Rhinolophus ferrumequinum: one gene and its partners. The protein of the gene in region 2 purifies or fractionates together with the protein of the main gene of each other region. This does not show direct contact. Links are inferred from orthologs where the notes say so. Each region holds a gene or a part of one and is shown on either strand. Other genes may lie near its edges. The genes, in order: UBN1, ASF1B, CABIN1 and MCM6.

What was found.
Region 1: the proteins of ASF1B (region 2) and UBN1 purify together in Homo sapiens (affinity purification with mass spectrometry; 3 studies listed by BioGRID and IntAct, counting the BioPlex papers as one, with this or other methods). This does not show direct contact. The link is inferred for Rhinolophus ferrumequinum from reciprocal best matches to the Homo sapiens genes ASF1B and UBN1.
Region 3: the proteins of ASF1B (region 2) and CABIN1 purify together in Homo sapiens (affinity purification with mass spectrometry; 3 studies listed by BioGRID and IntAct, counting the BioPlex papers as one, with this or other methods). This does not show direct contact. The link is inferred for Rhinolophus ferrumequinum from reciprocal best matches to the Homo sapiens genes ASF1B and CABIN1.
Region 4: the proteins of ASF1B (region 2) and MCM6 purify together in Homo sapiens (affinity purification with mass spectrometry; 4 studies listed by BioGRID and IntAct, counting the BioPlex papers as one, with this or other methods). This does not show direct contact. The link is inferred for Rhinolophus ferrumequinum from reciprocal best matches to the Homo sapiens genes ASF1B and MCM6.

What each region holds. Positions count from the first base shown.
Region 1 is NW_022680357.1:5,961,202-5,969,128, reverse strand, and holds the start of UBN1 (ubinuclein-1), read right to left. Parts: upstream 3,005-7,927; 5' UTR 2,943-3,004; intron 1-2,942. Other genes in the region: GLYR1 (cytokine-like nuclear factor N-PAC), read left to right, coding at 5,099-5,136, 6,164-6,200, 7,142-7,221. UniProt on the Homo sapiens protein: Acts as a novel regulator of senescence. Involved in the formation of senescence-associated heterochromatin foci (SAHF), which represses expression of proliferation-promoting genes. Binds to proliferation-promoting genes.
Region 2 is NC_046301.1:47,878,729-47,886,624, reverse strand, and holds the start of ASF1B (histone chaperone ASF1B), read right to left. Parts: upstream 3,008-7,896; 5' UTR 2,698-3,007; coding exon 2,589-2,697; intron 1-2,588. UniProt on the Homo sapiens protein: Histone chaperone that facilitates histone deposition and histone exchange and removal during nucleosome assembly and disassembly. Cooperates with chromatin assembly factor 1 (CAF-1) to promote replication-dependent chromatin assembly.
Region 3 is NC_046308.1:22,513,628-22,520,508, forward strand, and holds the start of CABIN1 (calcineurin-binding protein cabin-1), read right to left. Parts: upstream 3,001-6,881; 5' UTR 2,560-3,000; intron 1-2,559. Other genes in the region: DDT (D-dopachrome decarboxylase), read right to left, coding at 5,168-5,240, 5,691-5,866, 6,221-6,328. UniProt on the Homo sapiens protein: May be required for replication-independent chromatin assembly. May serve as a negative regulator of T-cell receptor (TCR) signaling via inhibition of calcineurin. Inhibition of activated calcineurin is dependent on both PKC and calcium signals.
Region 4 is NC_046291.1:82,500,732-82,508,659, reverse strand, and holds the start of MCM6 (DNA replication licensing factor MCM6), read right to left. Parts: upstream 3,006-7,928; 5' UTR 2,880-3,005; coding exon 2,773-2,879; intron 1-2,772. UniProt on the Homo sapiens protein: Acts as a component of the MCM2-7 complex (MCM complex) which is the replicative helicase essential for 'once per cell cycle' DNA replication initiation and elongation in eukaryotic cells.

The DNA of each region.
Region 1 (7,927 bases), on a different chromosome or scaffold from region 2:
GTTTTCACCAGCTCAGAGTAATGCCTACCCTGGGCATTGTCTTAGGAGTGACGTGGCTAGGGCTCACTTCCTAATGCACCAGCCTCTCACCACGCAAACTTGGGCCTCGACCAAGCGACAAATTATCACATGCCAAAGACCTTCAAAGTTGCTTGGAAATGGTCAGCTTATATTGTAAACTCCAGAATTCCAAGGGTTTACAGAATATAAATATGCGAATATACTACATATACACATGCATATGTATTTTGTGCTTCATGTATGATTTGTGTCCTGCTTTTTGAAACTGACATTCTAGTGTGAATGTCTTAGCAGGTAAAGTCTGCATGAGGTAAAGGTTGCATGAGTGTACTGAGTTTGTGAAAATCCATCATGCTGTGCACTTATCATATGGCTTCAAAAAGGATATTCATTGCATCCTTGTTTGTATAGGAAAAATGATAAAAGCAACCTGAATGTCCAGCATTAAGGAAATGGTTGAAAAAAATTAAGTCTTTTTTGTTCATTTTTAAGGGCTTCTGATATATTGTAGATATATAATATATATTACCTATGTAACATTTGTCATATCTCTTACAAATGCATTTTCTTCATTGTTATTTTCTGTTTAAGTTTGCTCAGAGGTATGATGAAAGAAATTTTAACTTTTTATGCAGTAAACTAGGCTCTTTTCCCTTATAATTTCTCCCATTTCTTTTGTGCCTAAACTGTCCTTCTCCAACCAGGTAATTCGTATGTAAGAATTTACCTAGCCAGTCTTTTATAGATCTAACTTTCACGTTGAATTTACTCTGCTTATAAGGAGAGAGGTAAGGCTCTAACTTGGTTTCTTCCCAGCACCAGTCACTAAATAATTCTTCTTTGCCCTGCTGATTTGGTATATACTATGTATAACGTCTCAGATATCTTAACTCTTTTGCTGTGACATTCGGATGTGTTTTCCTGTGGCTTGCACTATCAACAACAAAGATGTTTTGTATGCCATATTGTGTAACATTTTGTAATAAATTTTTATGTCATCAATGCCATTAGATTCTAATATATCTATACTTATATCTAATTGATACCACTTAGTATGCTTTGAGTGGTTTTTGCTAAAATTAAAGGTAATGATAAATTTATCACCACATAATAAATGTTTAAAATAAAAATGTCATTTATGTACAAAGCAGCTCAAAATGTTATTAAATGCATAAAATAGTCAAAATATCAACTTTTTATTTTTTGTGGATTTTTGACACATTTTGGGGAAAAAAACCTTGAAATCAATTAACACAGTGAGAGTTAAGGTCTATTTCTGAAATCCATCCTATCATATTGATGTAGTAGCTAAACATTCCTTAACCAGTACCATATTGTTTTAAGAAATTTTATGGTATATTTTAACATCTTGATTTTAACATTCATCTTTATTCTTCTTCTTTTAAAATACTTGGCTATTCCAGCCTATTTATTATTTCAGATCAATTTTAGAATCAGTTTGACAAGTTCCCAAAAAACTCACTGCATTTTAACTGTAAATGAATCATAAATATGAATTCAAAAAGATTTATATCATATATTCCCATACATATATAAAGATATTTATATAGTACACGCAATTCTCATTCTTTCCATTGTGACGATAAACTGTGATCTATAATACCAGACAAAGGAGTAAAATATCTAAAAATAGTTAAAATAATGCTAATGAGGCAGCAAAGTGATTAGCAGCAAAACAGGTTGGTGGTGCAAAAGACCATCGGGCATTAAGACGTTGAAAGAAATTCCTCTAAAGGAAACTTTCGAGGCCCCCAGGACATTTGTGATACACTTGGGTTGTGAAAATAAATTTCAGCTAAAGGTTGAAGGCTTGAAAGTTACCCTCATCGATAAGACAGGCAAAGTCTCACTATAAAAAGAGAATCTGCAAGTAACCGATGGGATACAGGAAGGTCATCCTAGAAGTGACAACCAGGTTCCTGCCCCAATCCAGGCAGTAATTTTAAAATATACCCTTATCCTGGCCCAAATTTTACACTTGATCTTAGCCAAAAGGCCAAGAAACGACCTGGCCCAAATTTTAGACATTGTAACTTCAATCCACCTAGATAGTAAAACTGCTTCCCTTAGTTGTTTAAGTGACTTTGCAGGCCTGAGAAGTTATAGATATAATACTAGAGAATCATGTAAGTCAAACCTATAGCCTTTTAGATTTTTAGTCATCGTGATAACTGCTATTGCTTGTTACTAGGCCATTAGAAACGTTTAAGAGATTCAGACATATTAATGTCTGACGTCAGACTTACAATTTTAATTTGAAATCCTTAAGAAAATATAACTAGGTTCAAAAATATTCTTTTAAAAGAATCTTACCATTATACATTTATTAGCCTTACAAAAGCTAAGTCCTTGGAAAGATTTTACTATTTGGTTTATAAGTTCCCTGTTTTAGAAGTTTGAAGTATTAGAGAGAACAAGCATTTAAAACTTCAAATGCAATTTAACACATTTAAGGGAATTTAACTTTGTAATAAAAAGCTTATTGTTTAGGAAAATTTAATCTGTTAAACTGGTGCCTTAATTGAAGCTCTGTCAAAGATGAAGTACTTCTGTTTTTACAAAAACATTCTTAGATTTGTAAATGAAACAAGATTTGTCAGCAAAATTTAAAGCCTTAAGAAAACCTAAGGGGGCGCCCTGATGGCTCAGTTGGTTAGAGCAGGAGCTCTTAACAAGGTTGCCAGTTCAATTCCCACAGAGGAATGGTGAGCTGTGCCCCTGCAACTAAAGATTGAAAACAGCGACTGGACTTGGAGCTGACCTGCGCCCTCCACAACTTGACTGAAGAACAACGACTTGACTTGCAGCTGATGGGCCCTGGAAAAATACAGTTCCCCAATATTAAAAAAAAAAAAAATTATTGAAAAAAAGAAAACCTAAGTATTTAAATACAGGCATACCTCAGAGATACTGCAGGTTCCGTTCCAGACAACCGCAATAAAGCAAGTCGTAATCTTTTTGCTGGTGGAGGGTCTTGCCTTCAATTTGTAAAAAACGCAACATCTGTGAAGGGCAACAAAGTTAAGTGCAATAAAGCGAGGTATGCCTGTACTCACCTTTAAGGAGTTAAACCTTATTCTAAGCACAGTATTCTACAAACAACATCCCTTTTAAAAACCCTCAATTGATATTACCCAAGAAATGCTAGCTTCTTTTTGTATCTCAGATTATTCCCAGGAATGATATATTTTTTTGTTGAACGTCCTCTCAATTACTGTATTTTCAAGCTAATTATTGGTGAAACATAGAAAAACTGAATTTTGTATGCTGAGTTTCTAATTAGTTTCTTTACTGAATTTCAAAATAGGCTTTTTTTCAAAATAGGCTGTCCTATCATCCACAGAAATGAGAATTTTGTCTCCTTTCTGAAAAATGGTGTCTCGTTTTTGTTTCAGGTCTTACTGCATTGGCTAGAACTTACAGGATAATATTAGACAATATATTCTTTGCCATGTTCCTGACTGTAACGGGAATGCCTCTAGGCCAAGTGTGAAGTTAATTTAAAATTCACATTTTTTATCAAGTCATTAAAATAACCCTCAATCCTCAAAATTTAAGAGTTTTAAAATCAGAAACATATGTTGAATTTTATGAAATTATTTCCTGGAATCACAAATGTGCTTTAAATTATCGGTTGGTCTTTGAAACAATTCAAGACGGTAAATGACAGTTCCTAAAACTGACAGTACTTTAGGGAAACTGAATTCCAGTGAAAAACCAGCTGTGGACAAGCCAGTTCGCTAAAACAAAAACAAAAATATCCCACATACAACCAAAGTCTCCGTGTAACAAAACGCCTAAGGGAGATAGATGTGTGTGGACCTGCAATCTTTTCAAGCAGGCGGCGACTCAAGAAAAGTCCAGTCTAAGTTAAGTCAACACTTGACTTAAGAGTCCTTGAGGTCTGTAATTGGGAATGGGACTTTTTGAAAATGTTTATTTTCTAGCAGGAATCTGACGTTTGGGCAGTCTCTGTGAACGGTTCCTAGTTCCTCATTCAACGGCTTGTTTTCACGTATTGAAACTACGCCTGGCATCCGCCTCCCTGTTGTCACAACAACCTGCTCCTAACTTCTCCAAAAGTGTCAAACTACAACTCGGCTTAAGTGAGAGCCCGGTCCCGACAAAGACACGCACCTTTGTCCCCAGCGCGACGCAAGCTACGGCCCCGCGGGCCGCACTTGTCCCCCCGCGACCGTCCTCATGCCGGCCCGGGAGCCCGGGCTGCGGCGCTGCTAGCGGCCGGTCCCGGAGCCATGCCTCCCGGCGGGCGGCCAACCCGCGCCGCGGCCCATGGCTGGGTCCCCGCGGGCCCGGGGGAGCCTCGCTGGCCGTGCCGTCTGCCGGCCCAGGAGGAAGTGGAGAGACTCTGGCTCCACGTCGGCCGATCAACTCGGAACCTCGAGGCGGGCTGCACTGGCGCCCCGGGAGAACTTGAAGCGCGGACACGGGCTCCGGCTCGGAGCCGCTCCCCGGACGCAGCTGGCAAAAAGCGCGCTCTGAAGGACCCGTTCGCCCCCGGGCGCGGCCACGCAGAGCCCGCCGGGCGCGGGACCCCGGGTGCGGGGCCCCGGGCACGGGCGGAGGCTGGCTTCCAGGCCGCGCCGAGGTCCGTCAGGGTAGCTGCCCGCGAGGCGACGCGGCCGGCCCCGGGGCCCGCGCGGGACTAACGGCCGTAACGGAAGCGCCGTGGGGGAGGGGAATGGAGACCAGGGTCCGGAGGCGGGGCGGGTCGCAGGGTCGGCTCCTTTGCGCGCTGGACCGGCCGCACAGCCGCCGTCGCCGCCGCCTCAGATCCCGGGCGCTTCGTTGTCACGAGCCGAAGGGAGGGGAAAGGAGCCGGGAGTCTTTCGGCTCCAGCGCGCGGAGACCGCGGCTCCCGCGTCACGTGCCGCCTAGCCGGCCAATAAGCACCGGCGGGCGTGGCGACGTCAGAGCAGCGGCGTGGCCGATGACAGCCGGCCCCCGTCACGTGGCCGGACTCAACCCAATGGGCGGCGCCGGGGCGACCTGAAGTTCCCGGCGGCCTGTGCGTCGGTGGTGGTTGGGTGGTAAGATGGCGGCTGTGAGTCTGCGGCTCGGCGATTTGGTGTGGTGAGTCCGGGCGTCCGGGGCCAAGCGAGGTGCGACGGGAAACTGCTCCTTTGGGCGCGGGGTTGGCGGACAGCCCCGGAGCTGCCTTTCTGGGCGCTCCAGGCCGCGGAGAGAGGGCGAGACGAGGTGCCGGTGCTGGGAGCGACGCCGGGCGGAAGGGGCAGCCCTGCCCCGGGGGACTGAGGCCGAGGGTGGCCGCGGCGGGCCGGGCTCCGAGGCCGCCCGGGAGAGAGCTGAGCTCCGGACCCGGACGCCGACGGCTACTGTGAGGGGCATTTCTGGAGCCACCCGCGGTGCGGGTTCCTCGGGGTCTTGCTGGGGTTCCCTGTAAAGCGGGGGAGCCCTCAAGGCCATCTCGCCCCGGCAAGCCCGTTAAAACCAGCGTTGCAATGGAACCGAACTCTGCGGGCGGCTTGGCCAAGGGTGTCGAAACCGGACTGATGGCGCTGCCCGGTGAAGAAATGGAGAGGAGACTTCTTCTTTACAACCGAAGGCTTGGCAGTGATCAGTGCCGTTTTGGGTGCCTCTTGTGGTCTTCTTCTGTGTCCCAGACAACCGCCCGAACCAAGACTGACTGTCGCCGCCTCGGTCGAGCTGCGTAGCTTATTTCTCGACCCAGAGGAAGGCTTCCATTAGCATTTGGCAAAGCCAGCTGGTCTCGCGGTGAATTAAACCAGACTTTGTAAGGGGAAGTCTGTGTTTACAGAGCAAACTGGCCCCCACCCCCGTCACGGGGAGGCTCTAGACAAGTGGCTCTTGGCGGTTTTGTTGTTCTGTATCCCTTGTCACCAGAAGAATGTACATACTTTATGCACATAGGTATACAATTTTGCATTCCATTTCTGAGGAGTTTGGGCCTGTTGAGTCCAACTGGGGAAGCCAGATTAAGAACTCCTGTGTGCCAGCTTTTGTTCTGGCACTTGAGGATGCAAGTGGAGATTTAGGAAAATAAATTGCATGTTGAGTGGGTTGAAGAAGATGGACTGGCTTTTCCAGGGCAAGTGCTGACTCTCTGTGTTTTCTCTAGGGGGAAACTCGGCAGGTATCCTCCTTGGCCAGGAAAGGTGAGTCTCTTGCTACTGAACTAAAGGAAGACATCTGAAGTTGGGTTTGAACAGGTGGAGAATGTAAGATGCATTCCCTTCAATTTCTAGCATTGAGTTAAACTGCCTATTTTAAGTAACAGAATTTTTTCTTCTGGAACATCAGTTCATTTAGAAAAGGCAATATAATATAAACCAGATCACTTAATCTTCATTAAATGCTTATTTCTTGAATCAGAGATGGTTTTGTGGAGGTTTTTAACCCTGGAAATCAATTCTAATTTGAATTTAGCTTTACACTTAAATCTAACGAAAGGAGAAGAAAATAAATTCTCCAGGAAGATAGAAATCTAAATGTAGACTAGTGAAAAGTCAAAGTATTTTTGTCCCAACTAAGTTTAAATCTTCTATGTTACCATATGTGCTGCTCCAGTGCATCTTTGCAGAAGTTGGCATTTCAAATTTTGCATGAGGCGATCCGTCATAGCTTTCCAAATGTTCTGTTTTTATATTCTTGCTAGGAGCCCAGGAAATGTCTTTAGACTGTCTCCTTGCAATATGGTATTTTCAGTGCTTCAGTTGCCTTTCCTTGTCACTATTACCTGTCTCAACTCTTCCTTCACAGAAGTATTTTTAAAAGTGTCCTCTACATTTCTTCAGTGATGACAGGGTCACATGGGATGAGGGGATGATATTTGTCTTAGTTTTAACTGCTTTTAAAACAGGGGCATTGCAGTAAAGGAATACCGTATCTACTGAACGATGTGCCACATGTTAGATGTAGAGAACTTTGGAATATTTGTACATCTCCACACATCTCAGTAGAAAAGTGCCAAATTTGGATACATACTAGGCGCTCGGTTTTTTTCTTTTTAAGACATTTCTTTTGTTTTATTTGATTTTTTTTTTCTTACCAACTTAGAATGGTGGGAAAAAACCTTTTTTTCCCTTTTATCCCCCAGATTGTTAATCCACCCAAGGACTTGAAGAAACCTCGTGGAAAGAAGTGCTTCTTTGTGAAGTTTTTTGGAACAGAGGATCAGTGAGTAGTGCTCACCAAGAGTTTCGCTTTCCCTTTGTTTAGGCATTGGCCTGGGTCTGAGCTGCTCTGAGAGTATTCTGTGGACCCTAGTTCAGTCCTACTAGGTAGTCTATAAAATGGCATCATTCTGGCTTCATACCTAAAGAAAAGGTGCTATTCTTACCTTGCAGAAATTGTCCTGGGGCCAATAACAGTGTCAGTCAGGTGAGAACTAGGGCTCACCACCTTCTAAATATAATAATCACATTGAGAGTTTCTCACACCTCTCTTGCCAACTCCATAGGCAGTTCCTCCTATAGGACCAATTTGGTTTCCCATTTAATGGCTGTTTATCAGTGTGGCTCATGCATGAGCTAGACAGTGAAAACTAAAATTTTATTTACCTTAATAAAAGTAATTGTTTAATCTGTTTTCTTTTGGGAAACTAAATGACTTGCTTTAATGTTGTAACATTTAGCTAGCCCTGTCCTAGAGTTGAAATCAGAATCGTTAATATGAGATTCTTTGATAGGCCATATAAGAAATCACAGTGTGGGGAAGAAGGTATTTGCTTGAGATTCTGATGATTTGTTTCGCGTTCCCATCACTACATCAAGTTGATTACCTAGTTCTAGCTAGATGGTTTGATTTCTTTAAGTAGTTGTATTTCTGTTTATGATTCTTACAGGAAAATGTAATTTTGGGTTAGGAAAATGTGACTTTTCTG
Region 2 (7,896 bases):
GAAAGAGAGCAAAAAGACCTTGGAGCCCTTGGGAAACAAGGTCAGCTGATTGACTGGGGGTTTGGGTGTCTTGTCAGATCTTCAATTGCCAGTGTCGAGATGATAAGATTAAGATTTCTCCAGGATCTGAGAGACTTCTAAAGTCAGGCCCACTCATCTTTTTGGGAGACAGGCAGGAAACTAATTCTTTCTGCTCCATGGGAAGAGGGCCAGGAAGAAGTAGAAAGCAAACTGGCAGGTCAGAGTCACAGAGAGCCCTAAGAAGAACAGAGTCTGGATTTCCAGGCTAGAGTTTGCTTTGCAACTCGAGTTTCTCTGAGCAAAATCTTTATTGTCTGGGTGTAATTAATAACAGGACACCCTTTGCTCTCTTGTGAGAGTGTCCTGATGTGGAAATAAATTCTACGATCAGTTCTATTTATGTTCCACTTCTAAAATAGAGGATGCATTCTTTCTTTCCCAGGTTATAGCAGAGATAAAAGAACCCTGGACTAAGAACTCAGAGAAAAGCCCTAGTATCAATAATTCTGCCAACCAGCTATGTGACCATGGAGTAGTCATTCTGTTTCTATTAAAAAATAGTGACCAGCAGGTTGATTTTGGATCTTTCCTACTCTGATTCTAAAAACAAGTTAGTAAAATAACAGAGCAGGGGCTTCATAGGAATAAAAGTATTAGAAAATGACCACATAACCATTTTAAAATGCAAGGAGCACAAGCAGGCTGATTGAAACCTGATCTCCTGCCATGTGGGAACTGTGAATCCCTTAATCTATTAGCTCCTTACATCTCCTCCTGGCTTTAAAATTAAATCTTATTCCAGTGTGACATTCTACACTTTATTTATTTATTTACACCCTGCCTTGTTCCAGAAAGGATTTAACTGTACTTATTCTATAGTTAGCCACAAGTAGACTCTGTAATTTAAAAAGGAGAAAAACCAGGGAGACTGAGCCCAAGCACATGAATCTCAAACTGTACCAACCCCAAACTAATCCCAGGGGCCGGCTTTGCAGGCAAACCACCCACCTACCATCAAGAGGCGCTAGTTAGTACACCCTGGCCTCACAGACCACCTCCTCAGCTGTTGCCTCTTTTCTTTAACCCAGTGAAGTGGTCTAATGGAGTACAGGCATACCTCAAAGACACTGTGGTTTGGTTTCAGACCACCGCAATAAATTGAGTAGTAATCTTTTTGCTGGTGGAAGGTCTTGCCTTTAATTTGTAAAAAATGCAACATCTGTGAAGTGTAATAAAACAAGGTATGCTTGTGCTTGTACTTCCTCTTGAAAGTGGTGCTAACACTTCCTGGGCGACCTTAGATTTTTGGATTTTTACAGATCTTTCCTTGCGAGGTCTGTCACTCTTTGTGGCTCCTGTCTTCTCATCTGTGAGATGAGAGCCATGTCCACCTTTATGTCACACAGATGAATAAGTACATCAGTGAAACCTTGGAAAAGATGCCCCAAAGGTTGTGATCCCCCAGCTGATTGCTTGAAGTTGGGTACCATCATGGCTCAGCCGGGCCCACATACCCTCCAGACTAGGTCAGACCATCAGAAGTGCCGGAGGAACTATGGCAGTAGGTCAAGCCGAAACCTGGCAGGCAAACAGTGGGAACTGGCTAATGCCTGGCTAGATCATCCTTCAGATTTGAGTGTGTTCATCGAAGTACACAGTCAGGGAGGAGGTAGGAACTGGAGCTGGGGAAACCAAGTTATCCTCAAAGACTGGAGCTAGAAGCCAGGCTATGCCTCCTCAGGTGGAGCTCAAGAATAAAGGGTTGGGGCCAGGCTAAGGAGAAGGGAAGCCAGGTTCTAGGTTACGTACTTTGGGGTAGAAAACAAGAAGTGAATGGGGTTGGTTAAATATCAGCAGGTTCTGGAGGGGATTATTGGGAGACAATGGGGAGATGGGGGTGAGTGAGGTCTTGCCACAGGAGAGGGTCTTCACAGGGAAAAAGGGTCACAGGAGGGGCTCCACTGGGAGGAAAAGGAGGGAACTTGAGGGAGAGGCCGCCACAAGGAAACTGGGGGAGGGGACTGAGGTTTCCATAAGGGAAATGGGAGGCTAGGGTTTCCGTATAAATAAAAAATGGGAGGCTGGAGGTTGGAGTCTCCATAGGAAAAAAGTGAGGCAGGAGTGTCTCACCACAGAGAGGAGGGGATGGGTGGGGGAAGACTGAGTGGGTGGAATAAAATAGAATTTTCTACACAGAAATAGGTGGGGGGTTTCTTGCTACAGGGAAGATGGGGAGGCTGAGGGTGTCCGCAAGTTAAAGAATGGCGGCGGATAAGGTCTCTACATAGAAAGCCCAGGAGCTCCACAGGAAGAAAAGGGAGCGAGGGAATGATGAGGTCTCCACGGGGGGAAACCGGAGTAACTGGGTAAGGGGGTCGGGTTGGCCGTGAGGTGGGGGTGGGAGGAAGTCTCCACGCGGAGATTGGGGCTGGCGGGGAGGGAAGTGGGGAGATCAGGGTTGGGGGTGTATTTCGAGGTCGGTGTTGGCCGCGGGAGCCTCTACGAGGAAGTCGGGTTGGCCAGGGGAACGGGAGAGGGGGGGGGAATCCATACAGGCCCAGCCTCACCGTCCGCCAGGGCCTCATTGCACTCGAAGCTGATCTCGAACCGGAAGGGGCTGTGGAAAGGGCTCGGATTCTCCAGCACGGCCACATTCAGCACCGACACCTTGGCCATCGCCTCGCCAGGCCGCAGTTCAAGCCAGAGCTGGGGCGGAGCCCACGGCTGGGTCCTGTCGGGTCAGCCGGACAGCGATGCTCACAGACTACCGCCTCCTTGGTCTGCCGACTGAACTGCGTATCTCGCCCGCGCGCCTCCTTCAAATAGCCGGCCGCACCCTCCGGCCAATCACCGTCAACGCTCCCCGGCGGCGCAAGCACCCCCTTAACCAATTCTGGAGCGCCGGGCGGCGCGCGCCGAGACTCCCTGGGCCAATCCGCTGAGCTCCCTCTTGGGGCTGCGCGTGGGAGGTGAGACCATCTCGGCTTTTTTGGGTGTCCGCCGGGAACCAATCCCCAGCGTTTCCGACTCGGATATCAAGGGCGGGGTGGGCGGAGCCAGAGCCTGTGTTCCTCTCAGCCAATGCCGAGAGTTCCCGCACCGGCGTGGCCCGCCCTTCGCCTCTCCCTTCCGGGAGACGCTACAATTCCTGAGCAGCGCCGCCAACTGCCGAGCGGTGGCGCGCGGCGCTAGCGTAAGAGGGCGGGAAGGGTGGTGCTCGAGCCAGCGGTGATTGGCAGGTAAGAAAGGAGTAAAGCAGCTTCTGTGAGATGTGATTGGCTGGGTTAGCCTCAGGGGGCGGGAGGAGAGGAAGACTCGGCTGGGGATTCGTGGGAGAGGAGCGGAAATAAGCGGCGGCGCGGTTAAGCGGGGTGTGAAGAGAAAGGAGAAGCGTTTGCTGCTTTGGCGTCTGTCGGCAGGTGATCGTTATCTGGAGCTTCTCTGAGGGCCTCTTGGCCCCTCAGGCCCAGCGGCCGGGGAGTTCGTTGTGAACGTTGTGAACGTTTGACTCACCCCTGAGGGGAGATGGAGCGGTGGTAACGCGGCGCTGGGGCGCGGACCCGGGAGTTGGCCCCAGTTCGAATCCCGCTCTCGTCCCTTCGAGGGCCGCTGGGAGGTGTCAGGTGGACAACGCTATTACTGGGAGTTCGAGTCCGGCCTCAGCCACTTAGCTCACGAGGCCACAGTTTCCCTGCTCATTGAACGAAGCCGTGAAAATTCATTGACATGATTCATGGTACATCTAGAAACTTCTCTCCACCCACATGCCGAGCTGGAGCACCGTTGGTTGCCTGGAAGACTCCAGGCACCTCAACACACACCCTCTCTGCTACCACCCACAACTAGTGGAAAAATAATTCGAGCCACATGCTTAATTTACATTTTTCTAGTAACCACGTTAAAAAAAGTTTTAAAAAATATTAACTTTAATATGTTGCATTTAATCCAGTATAAACAAAATATTATTTCAACAGGTGATGGGTGTAAAAAATACAAATGAGACAGCTTACATTTTTTACTGGGTAGTAAGGCTGCGAAATCCTGGGTGTTTTACACTTATGAGTACAGCTATGTTTTCATTAGAAAGAGTTGGTCTGGCTTTAAGTTTTATAAAACTTAACAGTTGAAAATGTAGATTCACATGTCCAAGCTGTTCCCAACATACTTAAAAGTTTTCCATGAGCTCAATCACATGCAGGTTTTTAAATTGAAATGTTAATTGATTAAAATTGAGTGACATGGAAAGTTCTGTTTCAGGGTGGCACTAGCTATTTTCAGGTGCTCATAGCCCCTGTGGCAAGTGGCTACTGTATTATTATTGGACAGTTCAGGTCTGAAATTGAATCAGTCATCCTCCTGCATATAACGTGAGTGATTTTCTATCGTTCCCAGGAAACTATGCCCCCCCCACACACACCCAATCCTACCCTTCCCTGGCTTCACTTTAATGGTAAATGGAAATTCTAGAAATAAACAATTCATAAGTTCTAAATAGCGCACCATTCTGAGTGTTGTGAAGAAAGATGAAATCTTGTACTAGCCTGTGCTATCGAGGAGGTGAATCATTCCTTTGTCCAGCATATCATAGAGACCCCCACATTCACATAACTTTTATTACAGTATATTGTTATAATTCTATTTTATTATTGTTGTTAATCTCTGACTGTGCCTAATTTATAAATTAAACTTTATCATAGGTATGTATATATAGGAGAATATATAGGCTTTGGTACTATCCAGGGTTTCAGGCATCCACGGAGGGTAGGTCTTGGAATGTGTCCTCCTCTGGTAAGGGGGCACTACTGTATTGTCTTTAAGACTACATGCTTTGTTTCCCACCAGCCCCAGCTTCAGTCTAGCCAAACTGACCCCCTCTTTGTTCCTTAAAAATCTGACATGGCATTCCCTGCGCAGAGTCTCTACCTAGAATCTGTTCTCCCAGTTCTTGGCATGGCTGGTGCCTTCTTGTCATTTACGTCTCTCTGTTCAAATGTCTTGTCAGAAAAGCTTTACCAACAGTCCTCTGGACAGTGTTAAAACTCACAGAGAGTAAGCCTGAATAGACTGGTCCAAGTCACTAGCATTTCTTATCTAGCAACTTCTGTGGCCTCCCTAGAATCTTACAGCCTCATAATGCTAGGTATGTTTTTATAGCTACATCTCAAGTAAAAAAAAAAACAAAAAAAACACAACTTTTTTTTGCATTTAAAAAAATTGAGACCTCTCCCCAAAAACTATTTGGCTACAAGAAAATTCACATTTGTAATGCCTGTGATTTCTTGGCAACCATTGGGCATAGTTGCAAGTTTTTGTGATTCTAGAAAATCTAATTTTCAAATTATTTTCAAATGTAATTCAGTTGCTTATGAATACTAAATTTAATGATGAATAAAGTTGCCATAATGTTACATTTTTCTAGATGTTTAATTAAACAGTTATTCATTCCAACTTTGTAGTTTTCTTTTTACATTGTGGAACTTTGTTTCCCTTTATCCCTAGCCCCAACCTTTTCAGCTGATTAGCTGAAAAGCTAATCAGCCACAAGCATTATGTCTGTGGTGCCAATGAAAAAAATGGCCCTGTCTGTAATGCGTTATGCGTACAGCTGGCTGAATAATCTTCAATTGTAAACCAGATCATGTTATTACCCTACTTAAAACCTTCAAAAGGCTTATCATACTTAAAATGAAACTTAAGATCTTTACTGTGGCTTAGGAGGCTCTGCATGGTGGCCTTAGCTGACCTCTCAGGCCTCATCTACAGTCTCCCTCTTGTCACCACTCTCAAGCCCAACTGGCTTTATTTCCTGTCTTTCAACAAACCAAGCTTATTCCTGCTGTAGGGCTTTGCACTTGCTGTTCCCTCTTTCTGGAATCTGCTTTCTTCAAATAATTGCATGGTTGTCTCATTCAAATCATTTATGGTTCAACTCAAATGTCAAACCTTCCTGGACCACCCTAGTTCAAGTTGCCCTTCCTTAATCACGTCACCCAGTTTTATCTTAGGGGCACTCAGAATCTGTACTTATGTTGGTTTTAAGTTGTGCTTGTTATTTCCCATCATCCCTCAGTAGACTGAAAGGTTAAGGGCAGAGCTCTCACCTGCTTCATGTTGACCTCTCAGTGTATTTCTAGAGGTTGGCACAGGGCCTCGCACATAGAAAGTCTTCAGTAGGTTTTTTAAAAAAGGATAAATCCATATAAAGGGCTTAGCATAGTACCCGGAATGTAAAAAGCACGCAATAAACATGAACTGTTATATATAATAAGCAGGTAAGTCTGTATTCTCCTTATGTAATATTTCAGGTGCACACACTTGAAAAACTCTAAGAAATACTATGACAAAATACACTTTTACTCATTACCCAGCTGAAGAAGTAAAACATTAGTGATGCATTTGAAAGGCCCTTTCTCAAACCTGCTCCTCTCCCGTTTTCCTCCAGTGTTACTGCAACCCTGGATTTGGTGTTTATTTTTCTGTGCATGTTGTGCATCTTTATATGCATGTGTCTTTTATTGTAGTGTGTCATGTTCTACAATTTTATATAAATGATATCTATGCAAAAAAGAGTTAACCTAAGAGGCCTGAGACAGCTATTCTTAGAAAGGCCTATTGGCAAAGCTGGCCTTTGGCTGGTGTCTAGGAACTTGGATTTTAGGAGGGTTCCCAGCAGTCTCTAAATGGTAAGAGTGGCTTATGGTGCTTAAACTATTTGTACAGTGTGGTTTATGTTGAACACCTGCTTTCTTTCTGAAGTCTGGAATTCTGGTATTTGACCAACCCCCAATAAGTACCTTAGCACTGAGCCTCTAATAGGCTTCCCTGGTAGACAACATTTCACACGAGTTGTCACAGCTCTGCTGCAGGAACTAAGCGCGTCACATTTGACACCAGTAGGAGAGGACTCTTGGAAGCTTGTGCCCGGTTTCCTCCAGACTTTAGGCCCCTTGTGCCTTTCCCCTTGGTTGATTTTGCTTTGTACCCTTTTGTTGTAAGAAATCATAGCCATGCATACAGTTATATGCTAAATCCTGCGAGTCTTCCTAGGGAATCATTGAACCTGGGGGTGATCTTGGGGAACCCTGACACAGTATCATACTAGATAGATCCTGACAGGGCTGGAACTAGGGTAAGGCAAGGAAAGCACGTAGGGCACAAAATTTAGGAGGTGCTCACTCTCAGGGTCGCTCAAGTGTCCAATTTGCACTTGTATGACCCTGAGGGTAAGTACCTCCTACAGTTTTCACCCTAGGCACCTAACTTCCTTCACTCTAGACCTGCCCTACCGTCTGAAACTTGCTTTTTTTTGGTCCAACATAATGCTTTTGAGATTTATCCATGTTGACACATGTATATAGCTCTAATTCATTTATTTTCACTGCTGCATAGCTGTGCTATCTGATGTAGCCAGTAGCCACATGTGGTCATTTAGATTTCAATTAATCAAAATTAAATAAAATGAAAAATTCATTTCCCCAATCACATTAGCCATATTTCACATGCTGGATAGGCACCTGTGGCTAATGGCTACTGCATTGGACAGCATGGACAGAGATCACTTCCATGATCACAGAAAATTTTGTTGGACAGTGTTTATGTACCCATTCACCTCTTGGTTAATATTTAGGTTTCCAGCTTTCACCTGTTACAAACAGTGTTGTTGTGTATGTCTCCCTGTGCATACATGCAGGATTTTCTCTAGGATACGAACCTAGGAGATGAATTGCTGGCTTATGGGTTATGGGAGTATTCACCTTTGCTAGATATTGACAGTTTGCTCTTCAAATAGATCATCGTGATTCCCACTCCTACCAGCAGTGTTGCTATTGCTCAGTGTCCTTATCAACACTTCGTATTATCAGACTTTTACGTTTT
Region 3 (6,881 bases), on a different chromosome or scaffold from region 2:
GGGAATGCTTGTCACTGTTGGTGGGATTGTAAATTGGTACAGCTACAATGGAACACAGTATGGAGGTTCCTCAGAAAATTAAAAACAGATCATATAAACCAACTATTCCTCTACTTGGAATATATCCTAAGGAAACAAAAACACTGTATCGAAGAGATATCTGTGCCCCCAGGTTCGTAGCAGCATTACCTATAACAGCCAAGACCAAAGTGTCCATCAACAGATGAATGGACAAAGTACAGATATACAATGGAATATTATTTAGCCATAAAAAATAAATCCTGGCATTTGCAACAACATGGATGAACCTTGAGGACATTATCCTAAGTGAAATAAGTCAGACAGAGAAACACAAATACTGTATGATCTCACTTATACGTGAAACCAACAAAAACAAAAACGAAAAAAAAAAAAAAACTCATAGAAAAAGAGATCAGATTTGTGGTTACCAGAGATGGGAATGGGAGAGAAGAAATTGGACGAAGGTAGTCAAAAGATACAAACTTCTAGTTGTAAGATAAATACGTACTAGGGGTGTAATTAATGTACAACATGATAACTACAGCTAACACTGTTGTATGGTATATTTGAAAGTCACTAAAAGAGTAGATCCTAAGACTTCTCATCACAAGGAAAGTAGTTTTTTGAATCTATATATGATGCATGTTAACTAAGTTTATTGTGATAATCATTTCACAATATATGTAAGTCAAATAACTATGCTAGACACCTTAAACTTATACAGTGCTTGCTATATGTCAATTATATCTCAATAAAACTGGAAAATTTAAAAATTTTTCTTAAAAATCCAAAAGGAGTCAAAAGACAACTGATATGTTGGAAGAAAATATTGGCAACATACACCACAAAGAACTAATATTCCTAATATATAAAGAGCTCTTAAAAACTGAGGGACACAGCATTATTCACAATAGCCAAAATATGGAAGCAATCCAAGTGTCCTTTGACAGATGAATGGATAAACAAAATGTGGTGTGTATATACAATGGAATATTATTCAGCCTTAAAAAAGAAAGACATTTCAACACATGCTACAACACGGATGAACCTTGAACACATTATGCGAAGTGAAACAAGTCAGACACAAAAGGACAAATACTATATGATTCCATTTATATGAGACACCTAGTATAGGCAAATCCAGAGACAGAAAGTAGAATGGTGGTTGCCAAGGACTGGGAGAGGGAAGAATGGAGAGTTATTGTTTAATGGGTACAGAGTTTTAGTTTGGGAAAATGAGAAAAAGTTCTGGAGATGAATGGTGGGGATGGCTGCCAACAATGTGGATGTACTTAGTGCCATGGAAAGGTACATTAATGTAAATATAGCTTAAATGGTACATTTCATGTAAAGTGTATTTTACCAGAATTTAAAAAAAAAAAAAAAAAAAAAAAAACCCTGAGGGCAGAAAAAGAAAAACCTGATAGAAAAATGGGGAAAACATACGAGCAATTTACCAAAAAAGACACACACTGGCTCTCAAACATATGAAAATATGTTCAAACTCACTTATAATTAGAGAAATGCAAATGAAAACAGCACTGAAACACCATTTGTCACCTATCACTGGCAAAAATGAAAGTACCACAGCACACTCTGTTGGTGAGGTTGTGGGGAAACAGGAACTATTGTTATACATTGTGGATGGGAATGCAGCTTGGTACAACCCCTTCCGCAGGGAAATTCGACGACAGGCAAAATTACATATGCAATTGCCCAGCATTTCCACTTCTCAGAAATCTACCCTGAAGATTTACCTCCAACAACAGGAAAATACGTATGCACAGGGTTATTCACTGCAGCATTGTTTGTAATTGCAAGATATTGGGAAAAACCTAAATGGCTATAGATAGTAGAGTGGATGAATAAATTATGGTACATGCACACAATGAAGCAATATACTACTAAAATTAAAATGAAGGTATGCTCATAGCAGCATTATTCATAAAAACCATAAAGTGGAAACAAATCAAATGTCCATCAACTGATGAATAAATAAAATGTGGTATACCCATACAATGGAATATTATTCAGCCATAAAAATACTGACAACATGGATTAAACCATGAAAACAGTACACTAAGAAAGCAGTCACAAACCACATATTGTATGATCCCCTTTATATGAAATGTCCACAGGCAAATCTATATAGACAGATAGAAATATTTTTATATTTACAACAAAAGTTTGCCAACTCCAAACGAGACCACTCTAAGGATATTTTAGTTCTAACTAGTTATTAATCACACACAGAAGGAACCTTTCGCCGCACGGAATCCCAGTGCCCCATGGTTACGACCTCTAGTAACACTGGTCCCAAAGAATTACGTGGCTCCCACAAAGCCACTTGTGCAGACAACTGCGAGTGTCAACTCTATCTAGCCCGGCCAGGCTGCACCAGGGAAACAGTGCAGTTAAGATTTTTCAGTCTGGAGTCGGGCTGACCCACTGGTTTGCTGGGGGACTTTGGCCAAGTCACTTCACCTTCTCTCGACCTCAGTTTCCATTCCTGTACATGACGCTGATAACAGCACTCACCTCGCAGGGCTGCAGTGAAGGTGAAGTGAAAGGACGCGCGCGAGTCAAGGGTTACGCCGGGCTTCGCACCGGCAAACGCCGAATCAATGGTAGCTCCAGTTGTTGTCACTGTAAACCACTCACGAGGCCGGAGCCGGTCCTAGGTACCCCAGGGCGGCGGCAAAAGCCGTGAAGAGGCCTGCGGGGCAGCCGGGAAGCCTGGCCTCGTTGCTCCCGCTCTCCGGCCTCGGTTTCCCCTACTGTAGCACAGGAGCTACCCAGAAACCCCCTGCGTCCACAGTAGCCTCGACCCTGCGCCCGCAGGGCCTCAGGCCCGCGACCCCGCTGCCGCCTTAGGCTTAGCAGAGACCTGCCCCCACACCGAAGACCTCTCCCAAACCCGTTGCCCGGGAATTCACCAGGCGTCTCCCCGGCAACAGCCCGTCCGCCCCGACCCCCGCACCAGCCGGCTGCGCGCCTAACAACAAGGAGCACTCCCATTGGCTCCGGTGCCGGCTCCGCCAGCCAATCAGTGAGGGCGCACGCGCCGTTCTCCTGCTGGCCGGCTACCAAAAACCCTGCGGAAGGCGTCCGACGCGGTCCGGAGCAGCCTGGTGTAGGGTTGCGACTTTTCCGGAGTGTAGGCTTCGTTCCTTGTGTCGTTGTGGCTCGGAGCGCCAGCTTGCGATCGGACTTTCGGCTCCACCACTTGTACTACTTGGAAAGCGCCGAGCTCGGGGCCTGGCCCCGAACGGTCGCTAAATGACGGGCCGTGTTGTTGGTACAACCGGAGGCAGGTGCTCTGAAAGCAACGGAAACTTGGGAAACACGAGGGAAACGGTTACGACCCTTCCCCTTCACATTCCTTGCCTCACCTCTTTCTGATAAGGATTTGAAGCCCGAAAGGCACAGATAACCATCAACTATTGAAACAAAGGGGAAAAGAAACCAAGACCTGGTAAATGAATGAGCTGGAGAGACAGAATTCCAGAGCCCAACTCTGAAGGGTTTCTGACAAGGTCTCGGGCTGAGAGAGGTTACTCTCTTGGGAGCTAATAGTTATAGAGAAGGGCTTCACACTGGTTGAAATGCATAGCTACTTGAGTCCAGCAAGAATGGCTTACATAGCAATGAATGTTATAGCTTTCTCTTTGACCTTAACGACGGTAAAATCACTGTGAAGCACTCATAGAGTCAGCTCCATACAATAAAGCTTCACTGATATGCCAGAAACTACAAAATAATTGAGTCATCAACCTTGATTTTGACAGTATAGCCTTGGGGGGCCAGGGACAGTGAACAAAAGCATAAACAAATGATTTTAAAGTTTCATGGATAACATGCAGGCTTGGATGCAGGTCCCACTCCTAGGTTGTACCTTGAAAGATGTGTGGCAAGGGTTTGGACGTGAGAAAAAGTGCAGGCTACCCAGGGGCTGGAGGCAGCATCGTGTCACCAGGGTGTAAAGCTCAGGGTCAGAGTGGGGAGAGATAATGCTGGAGGGGCCAGTCCCCACAGCCAACCGATGACATCATTCTCATCAGAGTGGTAATAGATTTAAGGTGGAGAGACCAGCTAGAAGGCTATTACCTTATAGTCCTGTCAAAGGTGCCTCTTTAGCCACGTTAACTATTCATTCACATTCAACCCACATTCTCGGAGCCCCTCAGGGAAGCAGGACTCCCATGTTGGCAGAAGGAATAAATGCAGAAACAGTTGGGACAGGTTGCCAGGGGAAGGAACTCCAAGCCCTAGCTTTTAATGAGAGTTCTCAGCAGTGGTCTGGTCCAAACACAGCAGGCAGAGGCACCTTCCATTGGAAACTAACTTAAATGAGACTGAAAAAAATCTCAATTTGGTATTTCACTGGTACACCAAAGACAAGGGTGAAACACAGTGCCCATACAATGTTTATCCTCTGATATGTGAAAGCACGATATGGTATTTCGATGGGGGAGGGAGATCCCTTTCATTCAGTTTCCAGTGGCAGACACTGCATTTCTAGGTTTGCCATTCTGGGGCATGGGTTTCACATAGCTAGAGAATTCTCAACAAGACTCATGGGAGAAGATGGAGCTTGGTAATGCCAGGGAAGGTCCCTGAAGCCCAACCCGCCTGGCTTCCCTGCCAGGCAAAGCAGTCTATGGGCAGGGAACTGCCCAGGCCGAGGACAGCAACATCTGGTCAGCAGAGTCTGCAGGAAAGCCCAGGCTGTCAGCGTCTCCCCAGAAGCCTGCACATGGGAATGGAGAGCAGGGCCTTCAGCATGAGCCCTCCACCCTCTGATTTGAGCAGCCTGAATACGATACATGAAAGAGCAGCCCTGAAGTTAGGAAACATCCCACCTCCCAGGTTCCCTAAGGTCCCCACCTCATAAACCAACCCTGCTCCCCAGGGTAGCCCAGCATGCGTTGGAGGGGTAAAGGGAGATAAAGAAGTCATGTTTGAAAGACAAAGCTCTTTTCATTTATTTGGCATGAGGATGGGGAAGAAGAGGACTGTGAGATCACAGGCCTGTCTGCATGTGGGGGTACCAGAAACTGGAATCCACCACGCCCTCACTCTGCCAGGCAGGCCTCTCGGGACGAGGTGGCCAACTCTCAGATGCCCTGGATATCCTCCGTGCCAATCACAAAAAGGTCATGACCGTCCCCTTCTTGCCAATCTGCCAGGCCTCCAGGGGGAAAAAGCGGATAACTATCCTTCAGGAGACAGAAAAAGATGTCATCAGCTCCTTGGCTAATGACTCATTCCAAGACTCATAGGCTAGGCACTCCCACCATGGGCTCCCAGACCAGCCTGCCTTAGCCCACCAGGCATTTTGCAAGTCTGCCTCACCCCATTAATGTTTTCCCCAGAACCCCCAACAGGGCAGCAGGCATGTCAGGGGCTGGATGGTGTCCGTACAGCAGCGTGGCCCACCCAGGACCACACTCAACATAGCCAGGACTGCATTCAATTCTGCTAGCAGTCTGAAGGTGGACCCACCACTAGGGGGCCTCAGGGGTCAAGGGACTCCAGGGCACTAGAGCTTTCTTGGGCAAGGTGAAGAATTTACTTTTTGCCCCAACCTTAGAAGGGACCCTGAGACAGGATCACTGCCCCCGGTCGTGCAGAAATCCCTCGAGTGTCCTCTCCCTGCCTCTACGCACCGGTCCTGGTCCAGTTTCAGCTCCTTGGTGAGGAACTCGAAGAAGCGGGCGCTGTGGCCGCGGTTCTCCTCCGCTGTGCCCACCACACCGATGGAGGAGACAAGAAGCTGTGCGCAAGGCTCGGCCGAGCCGTTTACCGCCATGGCCAGGCCAGGACGCACGGTCACGTTCACGCGCTGCAGGGGACACGAAAGTTTCACCAGAAGCTGATGCAGGCCAGGCTCACGCTCAGGGCCCAAAAGCGTGGGATCGAAGACGCGCGGACCCCGCAGGGTCAGGGTTAGGGGCATGGACTGGGGTCCTTGGAGGGCACGTCAGAGTCATGGCTAGGGAAGGCAATACCGAGCGGGTGGGGGTGGGGGTGGGGGTGGGACTGAGAGATCATAGAGAGCGGAAGGTCAGTTTGGCGGGTGGTGGGCGGGGGCCCTTGGGAGGAGTCGGGGTCTTGGTAGTTAAGTAGGGGCGTGGACAGAGCCGGACCCCTGGTCCATCAACCTCCCCCAGCCGCGTGCTCCCCGGCCCACGCTCACGTCCTCGGGTTTGGCCAGGATGGCGGCGGTGGCCGCGCAGAGCCTCTTCTCCAGCCCCGCGGGCACGCGGCCAGCAGGCAAGTTCGTGTCCAGCTCAACGAACGGCATGTCGGCGGAAAGATGGCTAAGGTGCCGCAGCGGAGGAAAAACCCGCGGAGACCAGGTCGGTGTTCCCAAGACCGGTATTAAGGAAAAGGGCGGGGCGCCGCGGAAACCGAGCTCCTCATTGGCTGTGCAGGCACACAGCACCTACTGACTGGCTGCCTAGGCTGCACCCCTCAACCGCTGCAGACAACCTTCGTGTGCTCTGGCACAGATTTCCGGAAGTCCTAATGCCCCGCCAGCCCGGTGTAACCCCACCCCCTAACGAGACATTGGCTGAGCCCTGGCCGCACCAGCCCCGCCTCCGATCCAGCCACACTGTCCGACGTTTTCCGTCTCCTGTGGCTTTCCAAAGTGGTAGTCTCCTGCTGCCTGTCCCAAATTTAGATGGAGGTCTGAAAAGCGCCCCCTTCACACGCAAACACACCTGTAGGGGCCCTCCCTAGGATCTACCTTAATAACGTTACATCGTCAGAGAATTAAAATTTTTTTGAATGAGTTGCCACCACTTCAGGTTCAGTATAAAAACGTGTGCTTCTCTTGATCAGGAGACCTGGTA
Region 4 (7,928 bases), on a different chromosome or scaffold from region 2:
GTGTGTGTGTGTGTGTGTGTGTGTGTGTGTGTGTGGCGGGGGAGGCGGAAGAAGGGGGAAAAAACCGAACAGAATAAAAATACACAGAAATAAGGTTCTTCACTGCCCAAGACCTCAGAAAAATGGGAACATACACACAAAATAAAGCTGGTGTGTTTTTTCTAAAAGTATCATACAAACATATTTGCTTTTCGTTCTTTTAACATAATATGCAGATCAGTTTTGAGGCAAAATCAATTCCTCCTTCAAATACAGCATGTTCTAACTCTGTTAAGATTTACTGAACGACTCTGCAAAAGCACTATGTAACTGAAGCTGCAGATGAGTGCTGTTCCTGCCTTAGGGTTGACACTCTCAGGAGACACTCCTACTAAAGAGAGGTACAAGACAACCTAAATGTCCATCACAAATGATTTAAAAAAATGTGGTATGCACATACAGTGGAATACTATTCAGCCTTAAAAAAGGAAATTCTGCTACATGTGTCAATATGGATGAACCCTCAGGACATTATGCTAAGTGAAATAATGATTCTACTTACATTAGACACCTAAAATAGTCAAATTCATACAATCAAAAAGTGGGATGGTCATTGCCAGGCTGAAGGAAGGTGGAAAACGTTGAGGTACTAATCAACAGGTAAAAAGTTTCACTCAAGGAAGATGAATAAACTCTAACAGATCTACTGTACAACAACCCTGTACCTATACTCAACAATATATTGCAGTTAAAAATTTGTAAAGAGGGTAGATCTCATGTAAGTGTTCTTTCCATAATAGAAGAAAAAAGGAAAAAAATGGGGGAAGTGCAAGAAATGTGATAGGGGAACATAAAGTAATTCTACCTAACATCTAGAAAGGCTTCATGCATCTAAAAGGTGGCACTGGAATTCAGCCTGGAAAGACTTAAAATCTGAAAAACAAGCAGTAGATAGACTGGTTACAGATGTCTACAAGTACGTGGCAGTAAGAAAAGGTCTGGAAGGAAGGTGGATGATGACAGGCTGGCTGTGGGAGATGAAACTGAAGAGAGGAGCTGTGAAGAATTTGGACTTTTTCCATAAGCAATGGCAAATCAAAGTTGGTATTTTTAAAGAGAGTTAGCATTTTTTCCCCAACGAAGGACAGGGATTATTTGTTTTGTTCATCATCATCCCTAGCATCTAGCTGCATGGTAAACTGCAAGGTAGTGAAGGTAATGATATCATTGAAATGAAACATTCATTGAGGACCTCAGTAATGTGGTGTGGTGGCTAGGTGGGGTTAAGGATGGGATTTACCTTGAAGATGAAGTGGCTGACAGGTAAAGATACTGGAAACGATATTACCAGATATAATGGAAAAGGGCAACTTGGGAACATAAGGGAAAAAAGGTTTGGTGTTGTCTGATCGGTTTATCAGGTTTCACAAAGGAGGTGTGAATCTTTAACTGAGCTTTGAAGGATGAATATCTGTCACGCAGAGAATAACATTGCCGAAGGTAGGGAAATATAAATTATGGTTTTAAGTAAATCACAATTTTGTAATACAGAATTATTCACAATAAAAGTGGAAACAACCCAAATGTCCACGGACATATGAATGGACACAGAAAATGTGGTATATACATACAATGGAATATTATTCAGCCTTAAAAAGGAAATTCTGGCACACGCTACAACATGGATGCTAAGTGAAATAAGCTGGTCACAAAAAGACGCATACTTAATGATTCCAAGCACATGAGGTATTGTCACCCGCACAGGCAGAGAACAGAATGGTGGTTGTCAGGTGCTGAGGGGGTGCCGGGAAAGGAGTAATTGTTTATTGGGTGCCTAGTTTCAGTCTGGGAAGAGTTCTGGCGAAGGATGGTGATAATGGCTGCATAACAAGGCGAATGTACTTAATGCCACTGAACTCTACACTTAAAAAAGCTTACAGTGGTACATTTAAGTGGTAAATTTTATGTGATGTATATTTTTCAAGTAAATAAAGGATTCATAGGACATTCCAAAATGTTTACCTTTCATCCCGAGGCAGCAGAATCCACACTCTCAAATAAAGAAGTGAGTATCTACACTAAGAACAGTTAACTGGCCGCAGTGGCATCGAACCGGGGAGCGGGGGTACGAGAGGCCAGGAGCCCAGAAGGCAACGGAAAAAGAAGTGGGGGGCGGGGTTTGGAAGGAAAGGACGGAAAGGAGAATGTTCAGCTACTTCTAAGCAGGGTAAGGCTCACCCTCACCCCAGCACGTTAAACCACAGGGAACACTCTAGTCCTTTCATCTCCACAGGCTCCCGGGTTGCCAGGGACCTGGGTGCCAACACCAGGGTCCTGGCTGTGCAGTCCCTTCGGGCGTCTGCCATGATTCCAGTGCCAGTTCGGCTTCTCGCTCGACCCTGCCCACGCGTGGCGTAGCCGGACGTCACTTACCGTCCCGGGGCCTCAATTTCCGCACAGGTGATCGGGGGCGACACGACCACCAGCCTTAAGGTAGTGAAGACTGAATGGTGGAGTAAAGCGCTTAGCCTGGGGCACAAGAAGAGCCTGAGGAAGGGTTTGCCATGGATTTCACCCTTGCAAACCAAGCCAGCCGGTCCTAGCTCCTAGCGGGGGCCTGGCTAAGCCCCAACTGGGGCTCGGGCCGCTCCCCAAGGCGCGCGATCGCGGTTCCGGAACAACCGCCGGCCACACACCTTAACCCTGCCCTCGGGCACGGGGCTTCCCGGGTTCCTAAAGCTGGGAGGGGATGCTCGGGGAAGTTCGGCGAGAAAGGGCAGACCGCGGACTTACTCCTCCAAGAAGTCCAGGAAGAGCTTCTGGCACTTCTCCGCCACCTCGTCACGGACTTCCAGGCGCTGGCTGCCGGCGCCCGGCTCCGCTGCCGCCGCGAGGTCCATGGCTGTGCAGCGCCGAGGGGCAGGCGCCGACACGCTGGGCCGCCACGAGTCGCCTCTCCCCGACGCGGCGGCTTTGCGCTTACCGCCGCCGCCGCCGCCGCAGCTCCGCCCGTCGTGGCCCGGGCCGGCCGCAGCCAATCGCGAAGCAGGAGCACGGAGATTTCGCGCCAAACTTTCCGGAAGAACGCTGAGACCTCTCCCTTAGTCCCGCCCACGAAGCGGGGATTTCGCGCCAAAAGCAAAAACCTGCTGAAACGGGGTGTGTGTGTGTGTGTGTGGGGGGGTGTCTGCCTGTGCGTCTGCGCAGTGTGGTTGGGTCCTGGGGAATCTGGCTTCTAGAGCATGTTAAAAAGGCCATATCGTTGTTTGTGTGGCTTTTCAAATGTTCTTCACATCATTCCACTGACATTAATTGAGCAGTAAGCGTAGGGCTTTATGGAAGAGAAAAATGAGTAAGAGTCAGACCCTCAGCTTGGGCCGTCTCATCGGAGGAAATAAACTGTAAACCAGGGTAAAACATTAAAAGAGCGAACATGGATGTACACACAGTACCGGGCATGGGGAGTTGGCATAGTTATGCTGGCAATGCTGACCCGGGAAAATCAGCGAAATATTTGACTCTGTTGATTAATTGCTCTCTTCAACGCACTCCTTGCTTGTGACCTCCTGATTTTTCTTCCCCTTTCTTTGGTCATCTTTCTCCGACTTCGTTTCACTTGGTTTTTCTCCTATCTCTTTGGCCATTCTTGTTTAGCCTCCTTTATAAGCGCCAAGTCTTCTTCAGTGAGTCCCTTAAATATTCTAGTCCCAGAGCCTTCCTTTCCCATAAAGGAGCTCTCTTGGGCTACTCCCTTCAGTCCCTTGGCTTCAATTAACATCTGGGTGCTGATGACTTACAAATGTGTGTCAACAGCTGATACTGTTTCTTGAGCCTCCAAGAGTTTAAGAGAAGCCTGGACCACTTTCAATTTTTGAGGCCTTCAGCACATTAAAAAAATGTTTTCAATGTCAAAGAGGGTGACAGAAGTTATAGTAATTCTTTTAACACACACTTCACAAGATATTCACAAGGTTTAACAAAAATGCTCATTGCTAGTGTACTGTCATGGATGGGAGATTGTATGTATTACCTCATTTGAAGAGGATGAGAACCCTTGAGGCTCTGTGTCCATCCCTCAACCCTTCCCCAGCTCCAGAATCTGCCTGCCTGTGGACATCACTACTTGTATGTATTTTAGGAACCTCAAACTCACCCTGCTTCATGCTATTCACACCCCTCATCTACTAGGAATGGATCCAGGAGATATTTAGGAGTAGTATGCTGACCAGGTTGCCTAATACTCTCAAAAGGCCTCATTCTTTTCTTTTCCATTTTTTACCTTCTCTTCATCTTCTATTCTCGGGGTAGATTTCTCAAAACTAAAGTCCCACATACCAAAGGAAAAAAAAAAGCAAAGAACAAGAGTGTAGAATTACAGGCTAATTTGCAGCTATGCCCATTTGAGAGAAAGTTGAGACTTCCTCTTTTCAACCTTACACACCTCACAGGTCCTCTCTTCCACCTTCAGACATCACCTCTGGACCAGAATAGCAGATGAGGTCTCCAAGTGAGGGTTGTGGGATACCTCAGGAGGAAGGTGTGGGTTATGAAGCAGCTCTGTGCTATATCCCAGGAGTTGTACGCCTCCGTGTGTGTGTGTGTGTGTGTGTGTGTGTGTGTGTGTAGGCCTGAGACTGCTGTCCTTAGAAGGGCCTGCTTGCAAGGTTGAGCACTGGCTAGCATTTGGGAGCTTGACTGGTAAAGAGTTCCCTACACTGGTATCATATGACACCTCCCATAAATGATAAGGATGGCTCACTGTGCCTAAAACGTTTGTACAAACAATGTGGTTTGTGCTGAACATCTTCTGAGTAGTATTTGGAATCTTGATATGTGCTAGGTAGACAGTGCCTATTGAACAGCACCAAGAAAAACTCTGGGCTTTTCTAATGAGCTTTCCTGGTAGAAAATGTGGTATGTGTACTGTCATGGTTTGATGCTGGGGAGAAATTGGTGCGTTCTATATGAGTCCATAGGGAGAGGACTCTAGGAAGCTTGTACTTAGTTTCCTCTGGACTTTGCCTGTCCCATATACCTTTTCCCTTTGCTGATTTTATCTTCTACCCTTTAGCTGTAACAAATCATAGCTGTGAGTACAATTTTATATATTGAGTCCTGCGAGTCCTAGCAAATCATTGAAACTGAGGATGGTTTTGTGGACCCCCAACACAATATATGTTCTTTTCTTAACCTTCTTATAATAGAATTTCAAACATACACAAATGTAGAATAATAAAATAACGCCATTTTTATTTTATAATAGTCTAAATAGTATATAATGAACTCCCATTATATAACCCCAATAACCATCAACGTGTGGCCAATCCTGTCCAAACCACACACTCCATCTACTTTTCCCTCTACATTGTTATTATCTTAATATTTTTATTTTAAATTATCTAGATACTAAAAGTTGCAAAAGATAGTACAGAGTTCTCATACATTATTCTGTGCCCATTTCCCCCTACTGTTAACATTTTACTTTACTGTAGTACATTTGTCACAACTAAAGAACTAACTTTGGTACAGTACTATTAGCTAAACTCCATACATTAGTTGGATTTCACTAGTTTTCCTCTAATGTACTTTTTCTTTTCCAGGACCCCATCCAGGACACCACATTACATTGAGTTGTCCCGTCTGCTTAGTCTCCTCTGCTCTTTGAAATTTCTCAGACTTTCCTTGGTTTTGATGACATTGATAGTTTTAAGGTATACTGCTCAGGTATTTTGCAAAACATCTCTCAATTGGGATTTGTCTGATGTTTTTCTTTTGCTTAGACTGTGCTTTGGGAGGTAAAGCACAGAGGCAAAGCACAGTTCTCACCACTCCCTTATAGTTTTGAAGCAAATCCTAGATACCGTATCATTTCATATGTAGCTATTTCAGAATGACTCTCTACAACAGAAAGGCTCTTTTTCCTGAGACGTATGTTTGGCTTAGAAGGAAAATTCCTTCAAACAGCTGTAGCAGTATGGGTTGATGATACTGATTCTTTTAAATCTAACTAATATTTTCCTAACTAACACTTCAACTTACTTTGAATAAAGTCAGCAGATTAAATTTTTACATGATTTATTTTAGGTGATATGCAATATTCAGTAAGATATTTATCAAATCATATTAGAAAAAGTTTCTTCCAAACACGGTTAATCTTCATCTTACAAAATATTTAACATATCCTACCTCTTATTAACAAAGTAAGAAAATTATATGCTAGCTGTGATAAATTACTTTTAACAATAAATGACTAAATGTATTTTTAGTCATTTGTCTTCCTCTTTAGTTACTTAAAAATATGAGAAGTTTGATCATGATGTCTATCAAATTAGTGGAGAGAGCAGTAGGATTGATGGCAGTTTTTACCTATTTTTATATAATACTTATTTAATTTTTTCAAAAAGCTGAATACCAGAATTACATACACACAGTACTGAAAAAATATTTAAAACTTCCATAATACTTCTCAATTCATAATAACATCATTTTAACTGTACCCTACATTATATTGTTAATTAAGAAATGAGAAACTGCATATAATTTTACTTGTGTTTTACAGCTATTATAAAAATTGATTAGTTAATATTTTATATATGTATGATTTTAATATTTATTTGATTGCTTTTATAATCATCAGTTTTACAAAATGTGTTCCATATTTTGTCTCCCAGTGGCTTTTAGACTATTTCTTGAAACAGGTATTACCATGTTTGTTTGAACTGAAAAACAAAGTTGGATTATTTTTTTCCTAACAAAACAGTAAGTGTGATTTATCTGATTGATTTACAATGAGAACAACCTTTACTAAGTGGGTTATGTGGTGGACATTTTCTAGACATTGAATAACCTAAGTCTTCAGCTCCAAGGTTTTGAGCAAAACATATTTCAAGAACATTATAAAATGAAACCACTCTATTTAAAAAATTGGATAAGCAAAGGTGTGTTGAAATTAACAGGATTTTTTTCTTCTCAAGTTTAGGAGAGATTTGGGCAGCAGAAACAGATTGAAAAATCCTCACAAGAGATGGTGGGGAAGTTTTGGAAGTAGATGCAGTCACTCAAAAAGCATCTGAAGAAAAAGAAGAAGGCAGGTCCAAGCATAAAACGCTGGGGAATATCAACATTTAACGGGAAGCTGAGAAGGAAAATGCCATGGGAGAGACTGGGAAATTATAACCAGAGAAATAGGAGGAGAACCTGAAAAGTCAAGAGAAGATTCTAGAACTAATTGTTGTCAATGGTGAATGCTGCAGAGCTGTCAAGGAGGATAGAGACTGAACATGGTGGAACAAGTTTCAGGAATACGAAAGGGGTAGAAGTGAGACTGCAAGGGCATGAATGGAGGTGAGGAAGCAGAGTGAGTGGCAGAACTCTTGCTAAGTTGGCCTGCAAACAGAGAGTGGACTGTGAGAGATCTGCTCTGCTCTGTGTGAGTAGAGAGACTCTTGACATAAGTTTTGGAACTTGAAACCATGGGTTGTTGGAGCAGAGGTGCAAGGAGAGAGACAGTCACCCAAGTCAGCAGTTACTCCTTCCCTCTGAGAACCCAGGAGAAGAGGGGAAGACTACACAGGCCTCATTTTCTGTGATAGAATATGTGAGTGTCTCACTCCAGGAAGGCCTGCTGCTCCCTCTTCCACTTATATGGCTGGAGTCACCACGTATGGTAGGCAGGGTCAGGGGCTGCTGAAATCCAGTCCGACTCTACCAGCCAGCCATTCACCCTGGAGTAAGGAGAACTTTGTTCCAAGTTGTGCAGGGGCGCCAGATAGGCTGGCAGCTTCCCTGCATATAGCCCTTCTCTCTCCAAGAACATTGGCCTTAGCTAATCCCACTCCTCCTCCTCGAAAGGCAAATATGGAGAAGTCTTTTGCTTCACACAGATGTGTGCAATAAAGGAGCATTCACTTAGAACTGCACCAGAATCCAGTCATATCTGGAAGGACATT